Drosophila melanogaster: one gene and its partner. Changing the gene in region 1 together with any one later gene gives a genetic interaction. Each region holds a gene or a part of one and is shown in the gene's direction. Other genes may lie near its edges.

Region 1 (4,858 bases):
AATCTGCGCAAGAATAGTCCCAAGGATCATCTGCTGCCCGATGGCCTGACCATCGATACCGAGGGCAACCTGTATGTGGCCACCTTCAATGGCGCCACCATCTACAAGGTTAATCCCAAGTGAGTAGTTCACTCTAACATTCGTGATCGAGTGTTAAATGTCGTACTTCATTGCAGCACTGGCAAGATTCTGCTTGAGATCAAGTTCCCAACCAAACAGATTACCTCCGCCGCCTTCGGTGGCCCCAACTTGGACATCCTGTACGTGACCACTGCCGCCAAGTTCGATCAGCCCGCTCCAGCTGGCACCACCTACAAGGTGACCGGACTGAACGCCACCGGCTATCCCGGCGTCAACCTGAAGGTCTAGGAGCTGCAATCTCTATCTATCCTTAGCCGCAGTAAAATGTACCAATCGAATCCAAGTGCAATTATATGTTATGCTCTTTAACGTTTTAAATCGCGTCTATCAATGTTTTGCATGCTAGTTAGGTTATCCTTTTTTGCAGTTCTAGTTCAAGGTCAGCTTAAGGATCACATTCTCTCCTGGGAATATCCAGGATCATCATGTAAACTCACAAAGAGGTTGACTATGCTCTACTTTACTCTGATTTCAAACAACAATCTTATCAGCCGCAGACACACGGTAATCATCCGCGGATCTTATGGTCATTTGGAGGACGCAGTGCTCTTATGCTTCTTTATTAATCAGTGGTTCTATAAACAATTTTATACTTATCGTCTAGTCTAAAATTAAAGATAGCAAGGTGGCGTAAAAAATCAGTCGATGTTTTGGTGAATGGAGATCATCCACTCAATTTCGGTGTAGATAAACATCTGCATGACCGTCTATTCATCAGACTCCGATTCCGATTCGGACTCTTCTTCATCGTCATCATCGTCGTCGTCATCGTCGTCGTCGCTGCCGGCGGAGCGATTTAGCCGCAGCATCTCCTGGAACTGGTGTACACGGATCTTTTGCGGCACGATCTGCAGCAGAAACTCCAGATTCTTGTTCTTATTGACCACCTGGGAGAGATGCTCGTACTTGAGCGCTTCGCCCGGTCGCTGGCCGAATTCCTCCGTGTATGCCGCGCCCGCCAAATGGCGAACGAATAGCTCCGTGCACTTGGTCATCAGGAAGAGCACCTCGTTGGTGATCAAGCCCGTGTCCATGGAGCTCTTCATGATCGTTCGCACGCGGCTGAGGGGCAGAAAGGTTTCCGCGGTCGGTGGACGCTCCACGGGTGGTTGGCTCCTTGGTTCGCCCATTTGTTTACTTAATTCCCAAGCAAACTATGGCTTGGGAATTTTTTTGGTTTTAGAGCTGGGCTCACAAGTGGAGCTGTGAAACTATCGATGTTACAATCGAGGCATGAAATTCGTACCTTTCTGAGACACTATCGATTCTTTTTTTTTATTTGCTATCGATGGTTATGGTTTATGAAGACTTAAAATAAGTAACCGCAGGGCTTCCCTTAAAACGAACAATGCTGGCATACTTCTATTTTTGCAAGGAATTGGATGTGCACAATAATATATGTGTTACTTTCTCAGAATTAAGTTATAGCGCTAAATATATAAAAATTGAGAAACCCATTCGGATTTGCCTATACTTTCAGCTCTAGCTGGAGCGGGAATTTAACCAAATAACGTTGCGCCGATATGCTATCGGTAGCCACAACAAGTATTTAATAAAAGTTTTCCAAATATTTCAATTTATTAGTGGAAAAACCGCTCTAAGCAAATACCTTTAACTTAATCAAGAGATTAGGGGTAAAACGATTAGGATCTGCACGATTTATAAGGAAACATTCAATTGCAACAACATTTAGACAAGTCAATATTATCTACTTTTGTCTTTTCAGTATGCAATCAACTTTGGATTTTCACACTTATAGCTTAAAAATCTGTCTTCATTTTCGAACTCACATATAAATAAATATCAATAAATTATTATTGCACTTGATTTGTTTGCAGCAACGTTGCCAGACTTCCGTAATCGATGACTATCGAACCTATCGCTGCGCGGCATGTGCAACACTGCGTTTTCTGCTGCCCCCTTTTGGCTGTTGTTTCGTGTGTTGACCAATAAATTTTTCGCGTACTTTTCCAACTTTTCAATTACCGAACCGCAATTGCCGCCAAAATAGATAGCCGATAGCTAGTCGAGCGAGTAACCAGCGAGTTTTTGGCCAATTCACGCGACGATCAGGGGCAGTGGAAGCAGGAGCAGGATCTCGACCAGATCGCCAGGAAGCGACATTTCCATTAGAGCGGTTCAAGTGAAAGCGAGTGAGCTGCACGGCACGAGAGAACGAGACAGACAGACGGCGAGAGTGAGAGCGAGCGAGAGAGCTAGTTAAATCCTTTCGAGAATTCCAGGAATTCAAGCATCCAAAACAGCTGCTGCTGCCGCAAAATCATCAACATCATCACCATCGCTGTTTGTGAAACGTTGTTCAAGCAACGGCGTGCCAACAAACCAGTATCGACATTTAGATCTAGATTCGAATCCCCTATCCACATAGCTTGTGGGTGCACTTTTCCAGTTGGCCAATCTCAACCAGCAATTAAAAATGGCCGCTGCCGCTGCGAGCGCAGTGAATGCAGTGAACGACTGCTTCAGCATCGGATCCACAGTCGTCTGTACGACCTGTTTCAACGAGGAGGTGGAGGGCGAGGTGCTGGCCTTCGATCACAACACAAAGATGCTTATCCTGAGTATCCTTTTGCAACGAAATCCCCGAAATGCATACCCACACACACACACAACTTGCCCGCCGGGTGAAAGCGAGCACTTTCTCCGGCTGTCCACAGGGATCTCTTGAGCTGTCTGGACAAAAAGTCACACTGTCCTTTAGATTCGTATATAATTCTAATTCACACTCATCTTAACTGATAGCATTCACATATCACCTATCTCTTATCAAACCCATTGTTTACTGCTTGACAATTTGGTTCTCCGTACATCGTATATCTTTGCCCCCCGTTCCTGCTCTTCTCTTCCCTTTCCAACCGCATAGAATGCCGATCCAAGTCCACGGAGGAGCTGAGTGATATCTACGCGATGAACCTCTCGCTCTGCAGCAACGTGCAGGTGATCAAGGAGTGCAACGGCAACTTTGATGATCCGCAAAAGCTTAATCTGGAACAGGTAAGCATGCCAGCTCTGACCACTTACATAAATATATATATATATATATATATATTGCTTATACAGGTCAAAATGCGTCTGAGGAAAACAGTTGAGCGAAGACAGGACTACTTGAAGTCTAAGAATGCTGATGTCAGTCCAGAGGCGCAGGAACTCTATAGAGCGATAGCCAAACAATACGGGGTAATGACCTCTTGCACGATGCCCTATCATCATTAACCATTGCTATTTCTTTTACTATTTTGTAGTACAATGAAGTCTCCTGGCAAGGACTTAACATACAGATCCTAAATGAAGTCACCATCTCGCCGCCGTACCGAGTGGACAACGTGGTGTCCAGCTCGAACAACGAAACTTCATGCAACTACATCAAGCGCATCGTAAGCAATTGCCCAACCGCAGCACCTTCAAGCAAACTGTCATAAATCCGAAATGAAGTTCGTTAAATCTTTAATCAGACTAGCAAACCATTGTAACTTAAACCCAACGCAATGGCTCAAACAACGATTTAGTTGAATTAATGTTCAGAACATTCTAGATTCGCTAATGTTTATAGGTTATTCATATGTCAAGATAGTCCTAAATATTTCAAGTACTTCCCAATGTGGTTTAGGGTTTGATTAGAAACAGTATTAAGCATTTTATCATTCTGATATAAACATACAAATGCGCAAAGTTGCGGTAAAAAAAAATAATGCTTTATGACAGAATTGTGGCTGGTGTGGTCGGTGTTTTTAAGTTCATAGGTTAATCTTTACTCCATCTTTTATCTGCAGATCAAACAGTTCTTCAACACGAGGCCATCGCCCGTCCCGGAAAGCGGAGCTGCGGCCAGCACCTCGTCACCATCGGTGTCTCCCACGTCCTCATCTCTTGCATCTGGATCGCCGGTTCCCGCAAACTAATAATAAGCAGAAAAAAAACACAAACAAAACAAAACAAAAAAACAGAAATGTGCTTCAAAAAAGAACAACGTATTGGTTTTTTAATCTCTCGGGTGGGCGCATAAAGTTAACACTTTGATGGGTATTCGAAAAACGATTCTGAAAAAACTATCAGTTTTTGTGGCTTTTATGGTACTTTGAATTCAGGACCCACAATTTCTCATCTCGACTTAAGGTTGTGAAAAGTTAAATCATTTTTTTCTAATTATTAGATAATTCAATTACACAATTTCAATTAGATATTAGATATTTGCATTTAAATACATTTAAAATTTTAATAAAACTTCTTTTAAAAATGGATGCCCATGTAGCATTAACATTTGGCTATAAACAAGCTAGCAGACATCACTGTCCGATAACCGATAGCCCGATTGTTATGTATGGCTTGTGGTGGTCAGCTGCAAGAGCCGCGCCGCGTTTTTAACAAATTTAGCGAATAAGCAATAAATAACAGACAATGGCCATGGAAGACGTGCAGAAGCACAGCGTGCACACGCTGATATTCCGCTCCCTGAAGCGCACCCACGATCTGTTCGTCTCCAACCAGGGAAATCTGCCCGAAATCGACGAACGTTTGTGAGTATACCTGTAGTTTGCAACTTACGCATTGTTAATTTGTGTTTTTCGTTAAACAGAGAGAAGTTGCGACGTTCCATCAAGGCGAAGGATGGCTATGGCCTTGTGCTGGACAAGGTGGCGAAGATCGGCGAGGCCAGGAAGGCATCAGGAGCCCAAACGCCGGGCGACAAGACGCTGGC
Region 2 (4,953 bases), 7.9 Mb from region 1:
AACGGATCGGTATCATAGTAGAGTGTCTTGTGGTCGAGAAAGAGTTTGGCAAGCAGGCACAAGTTCTGGGCATACACCTTGTTTTTGCGTCCATCGATTTCAAAGAAGGAAATTGTATGTTTGCGATAGATCTCGTTTCCCGGTGGATGCCTAAGATTGCACTTGGACAGGTGCCTCTCCAGGCACTTCCTGCTCTTCCTGTACTTCAGGCAGAACTCGCAGATGTAGATGCAGGGCATTTGACACAGCTCTTGCGGATAGGGTGAGAAATACCAGGGCTTAATGCGATGCCTGCCCAGCTCGATCATCTCCACGTTCTTCATGCGGGTGACCACGTCGTCCTGGTGCGTAACCATGCTGCCTGATTGCCTCGGCGTGGGCGTCTTGCCATCCTGCGATCCATCACCATCATCATTGGCCGCTCCGCTTATTAAACCGTCGCCGGTCACATGCACGGGCGTAGCCGTGGGTGTCTGCGGAGTTGTAGGATGCGGATGTGACTGCTGCTGTTGACTGGTCAGACTGTGGTGTCCATGGGCCGAGCCTCCGTGGTTTTTTCGCTTGCGATTGATGCGTTTCTGAAGGGCTGCGGCCAGATTGTTGCCATTCACAAGCTCTCCCCCACTGCTTGGTGTTCCGGGTGGAGCCACAGAGTTTGGAATGCCAGCAGGGGGAGGAACACTGCCTGATGCACCAGTAGGAGTCTGGGGGATGGCTGCCAGAGCCCCGGAACCAGGGTGTTGCGGTGATGTAGGCCGAGAAACGCTGCCCGCTAGGGAATGGTGGCGCTGTGGCGTGGTCACTCCAGTGCTGGTGCCTGTTTGTGAGCCGTCTCTCCGCGGAAATTGCACCTTTCGCGTGTACAGATCCTCCTCGTTGACCCACTCGTCCAAGCGCTTGTTGACTGCGGATTGGCAGTTATACTAAATATGCTCCCACTGGACGACTTGGTACTCACAGTCCACATAGTGCACGTAAAACTGCCGGCGCCCATCCAACTCCTTGATGCTCACAATCTCCGCTAGTGGCCAGTCGTCCGTTTTGTGCATCCTGACGGGTAAACGACATCCCTCGGTTAGGGCGGCCTGCAAGTTTGCGGTTAAAACCATTAGAATGAACACCCAAAACACGCCAAGGCGTAGCGGAACCCACCGTTGACTCGCATATGGAGGCCACATCGTCGTCGAACTCATATTTGTGGTTAATTTTCATTTGTTTATATTTTACGCGTTTTTTTTTTCCTAAAACAGCAGTATTGCCAGATAGCGAAACGTAAATAACTATCGACCAATCGATTACCGCCACAGTGAATCAGCGGTTTAAAAATGTTGATGACATGGGCAGTGCTGCGCAGCGTCGCGTCGCCTTTTCAAAGTGCTGCACAACACAACAACAATTCCAGAGAGTTTTTCAATTCGGGTTCGGTATTTTTTCTCATGTGCCTACTGTGCAATTAAACAATTTCGCCCGCTTACAAACAACTGTAACATATTAAGCACAACCGTTCGACTCAATTGCAGTTGCTAGAACTTGAGTGCGCAGTTATGTGCTCCCTTCTTTTCAGTTGCCAAACCAAAAAATAAAAACGCTGAGAAGGTCAGAGAAATGTACACAGGCGTAAATTTGTGTGCGTGTGTGTGGGTGCGTACATTCGTGTGCGCTCGTGTGAGTGCGCAGAAAGTTATACAGCTGTCATCGACTGGCGTATTTATCAATAAATGACTACTGTGATCCGCGGAAAACTTCAGTTACTGGGTAATTGTGACCACAACTGCTGGGCAACTGTGCCGCAGTGCCCCAATGCTGACGAGCTGAGCGGGAAATTGGTGAAAAAGCTGTGTCAAAATGACGTGTTTTGCGATAGTGTTGCCACTGACAACAGCCGCAGGGCTGCCAACTCGATGGGCATATCCCACTAATTAGTTGCAAAACGGGCAGGCAATCTCGTGTTGATTAGTAAGATGCAAGCCTAGAGCAAACGCCGATTTAGCAATCTCAACGGCTTGCCCCTACAAACAACAAACAGCATTTGTCAACCCTGGCACGCAGCGTAGTTAGCAACACTGCTTTTTAGCCAAAAAAAAAAAAAAATAAAAAAAATGAATATGGAAAGAGACCAGTGCTTTTTAAAGAAATTCGAAGTCAGTGGGCCGCAAGGGGTCGCCAAAGACTAAACAGACGCACCTGCTACCACCCACCGCCCCTTGTCGCTCGTCCGCATGACCAGAACAACAACAAATGCTGCAAAACACCCAGTCAGTGGTCCAATGTCTCAGTTTCAGTTTTAGTCTCAACTTCATCCCCATTTCCCAATCAATTGCAGATCCGTGCGCACACATTTCCGTATTCCGGTCTGTTTGCGAGCAATCCGCATCCCCGTGCCCAGGAACCTACGTAAATGCCGCGAGCAAAGGTTTGAGCCGGAGGAGAGCTACTGACGACAGGCCTGTCAAGTGCAGCAGGAGTCCAAACTGATGCGCAATAGGTGGGCTCCCCTGTGCCTCAAACCGTCTGGAAGTCGAGAGGAATCGTTAGGAATCGGCGGAACAGCCTGCAGAGCACTTGCAGTCGCGGTGGCAACCACACGGCGGCTGGGCAGCTGGGCTACCTAGAAACATCGCGAAGAGAAGAAACAGTTTGTAAGCAGTTAATGGGAATGCGAGATATACCCGTTTACTAAAACAAACATTCCCCTCTTCTCACACGCCCTAACAGATTCGAGGAATTCGAATGGCATTTGTTTTTCTCCTTCGTTGCATGCCACCAAACGAAAGAAGATGAACAATGAACAAACGCCGTCATCATCGGACACACCGGCGGATCGTGTGGCATCTGGTGGAGCAGCTGCCAAACTGCCAACGATCATACCGGACACGCCCATCGTCTCGATTGCCGCTGGCACGATGAGCGAGAGCACCACGACGACCACCGTCACCAAAACAACGCCGACGCCGTTCCCACAGGAGCAGCTTATGACCATGATGTCAGACCATGTGGCGAAGGCAGACGCGCAGCTTGACGAGGCCTGTAGGAACCAGGGGGCCAAAGACGAGGACAGCCAAGGAGCGGCACCAGTGGCTGCCAACCATGTAGCCACCAGCGGCAGTAGCAGCAGAGGCAATGACCCCAAGAAGTCATCATCCCCTAGTAATAGCCATAGCTCTGGTAACCACGCAGCCACGGCAGACGCTGCCAAAGGATCCGCAGCAGAAGCAGCAGCAGGAGATACGTCCTTCTCGCAGGTCTTTGCCATGCTAAAGGATTCGCCCAGCGCTGAACTGTCGCGACCAAACCGCAGGGTACTCCAGTACGGAGCCACTGCCAAGGGCAAGACCCAGGACGATCAGAATGTCGGCAAGCGACAGAAGAAGAAAAAGGTAAGTGCGCTCTGGCTGAGTTGCATCTTAAGGTGGAAATATAGTGCATGTTAAGCAGAAACCGAGTTAAGATATTGTTTTATTAAGAAAAAGGTATAGTTATGTTTGTTACTCGCAAAATTTCACATTTGTGTACGTTCTGGAGGCTCCAAAGCTCTATGGTGTTTGGACTCCATATCTTATGCATGGCCAGGCTTGAATAGAGCTCTACCAGGGCGACTAAGTTGAGAAACAACTAAGTAAACGTAAAATTTGAAACTAATTTCGATTTTGGGTGGAATTCCAGTATTGGACAGCAAGTTGTCCGATCTTTACGTTACCACCAAAACCAAGGTATACATAAATTAGATATAAATATTGTTTATTTGCACACTAAGCTATAAACTAAAATAGATTCTTACGCTTGCGGTCCATTAAAGTTGTCGAAAATGAAAATGCCGAAATCCCCTTAAAACATGACCTTTGGAAAAAACTTTAAGTGAGCCGATTACTCACTCACAAACACTGTTTTATCGAAAACCGAATTTTATTAAAAAAAAAATAAATATTGACAGTCAAATTGCATCCCCCTAATGAATACATACTCACATACATACATATATGTATGCGAATAGAAGCCAAAGTACCGTTTACGAAGTTAATGGCAAAGAATTCGAAAATGATGTAGAAATAGACCAAGCATACTGTTATCTCGTTCTGACTGACTGGGATTGTGGCTTTCGAAATAGTGCCGTTACATTTGGTCCCATCAAGTAATCGCCACACAGGAACTTCAATTTCTGATCGCAGTCGGTTTTTTGACCAGCGCCTTCGATAATTATTGAAATCAAGACCCCGAATCGGGCAGAAGGAACGGATAAAACCGCAAAGCGTTTGTTTATCTTATAAAAGCATTGGTGACATCCGCGGCATTAACCACGAAAACTTCTCGCCTATTCCCGTTATTATTTCAGTTATTGTTTTTTTTTTTTTTTTCTGTTTTCTTGTGTTCGTGTGCAACACCATATAGTACACATGTGTGTGCGTATGTAGAGCGTTTACTTACTGGAACCGTGTGCCATTTAATACTTCTATTGCTCTGCGGTCGGTACTTCATCAGTTCGCATAAGGAACTCAGAAGGGCATGTGTTTGGAATAAGTGGAGCTCCGAATTCTTTTGTTTTTTTTTTTTTAGGTTAAGTCGCAGCGATTATTGTTTTACACGCATATGTGTTCGTGTTGATGACCCGAAAAATTGCAAAACTAATTGCCAAATATTGTTCTTCGACGCTTTTGCAGACAAAATACGATACCTGGGAAGATAGCGATTTTAATGATCTGGACGACGCATCATTGAAGAAACTTCTCGAAGAGGCCTACTGGTATCGAAATCCTGGCGACAGGAAGAACAAGAGCGAGCGATTTCTGGTAAGTTTTGGCTCATGTATGTGCAACATATATATGTGTGTATAAATATTTCTGCTTCACGTCTTTTACGCCTGCAGCAAATGCTCAAAAAGGCTGAGTACGACGAAGAGATCTCTTATCGTGCCATCAAATCCTGCCTCACAATCAACCCATCCGCACTAACGTCCAG

Evidence for each region.
Region 2: of Lsm12a (region 1) and tyf, changing one enhances a phenotype caused by changing the other (phenotypic enhancement), as found in Drosophila melanogaster (one study listed by BioGRID).

Annotation. Positions count from the first base shown.
Region 1 is NC_004354.4:12,016,603-12,021,460, forward strand, and holds Lsm12a (LSM12 homolog a), read left to right. Parts: upstream 1-2,037; 5' UTR 2,038-2,578; coding exon 2,579-2,723; intron 2,724-3,025; coding exon 3,026-3,156; intron 3,157-3,222; coding exon 3,223-3,339; intron 3,340-3,404; coding exon 3,405-3,536; intron 3,537-3,932; coding exon 3,933-4,061; 3' UTR 4,062-4,117; downstream 4,118-4,858. Other genes in the region: regucalcin, read left to right, coding at 1-119, 177-369; Chrac-16 (chromatin accessibility complex 16kD protein), read right to left, coding at 849-1,271; Tango4 (transport and golgi organization 4), read left to right, coding at 4,558-4,676, 4,736-4,858. UniProt on the Drosophila melanogaster protein: Component of the Atx2-tyf activator complex which functions in the circadian pacemaker neurons to activate the TYF-dependent translation of per and maintain 24 hour periodicity in circadian behaviors.
Region 2 is NC_004354.4:4,115,641-4,120,593, forward strand, and holds the start of tyf (twenty-four), read left to right. Parts: upstream 1-1,909; 5' UTR 1,910-2,255; intron 2,256-2,323; 5' UTR 2,324-2,639; intron 2,640-2,715; 5' UTR 2,716-2,777; coding exon 2,778-3,377; intron 3,378-4,073; exon of another isoform or gene 4,074-4,655; coding exon 4,656-4,784; exon of another isoform or gene 4,785-4,800; intron 4,801-4,861; coding exon 4,862-4,953. Other genes in the region: Tip60 (Tat interactive protein 60kDa), read right to left, coding at 1-904, 959-1,085, 1,153-1,212.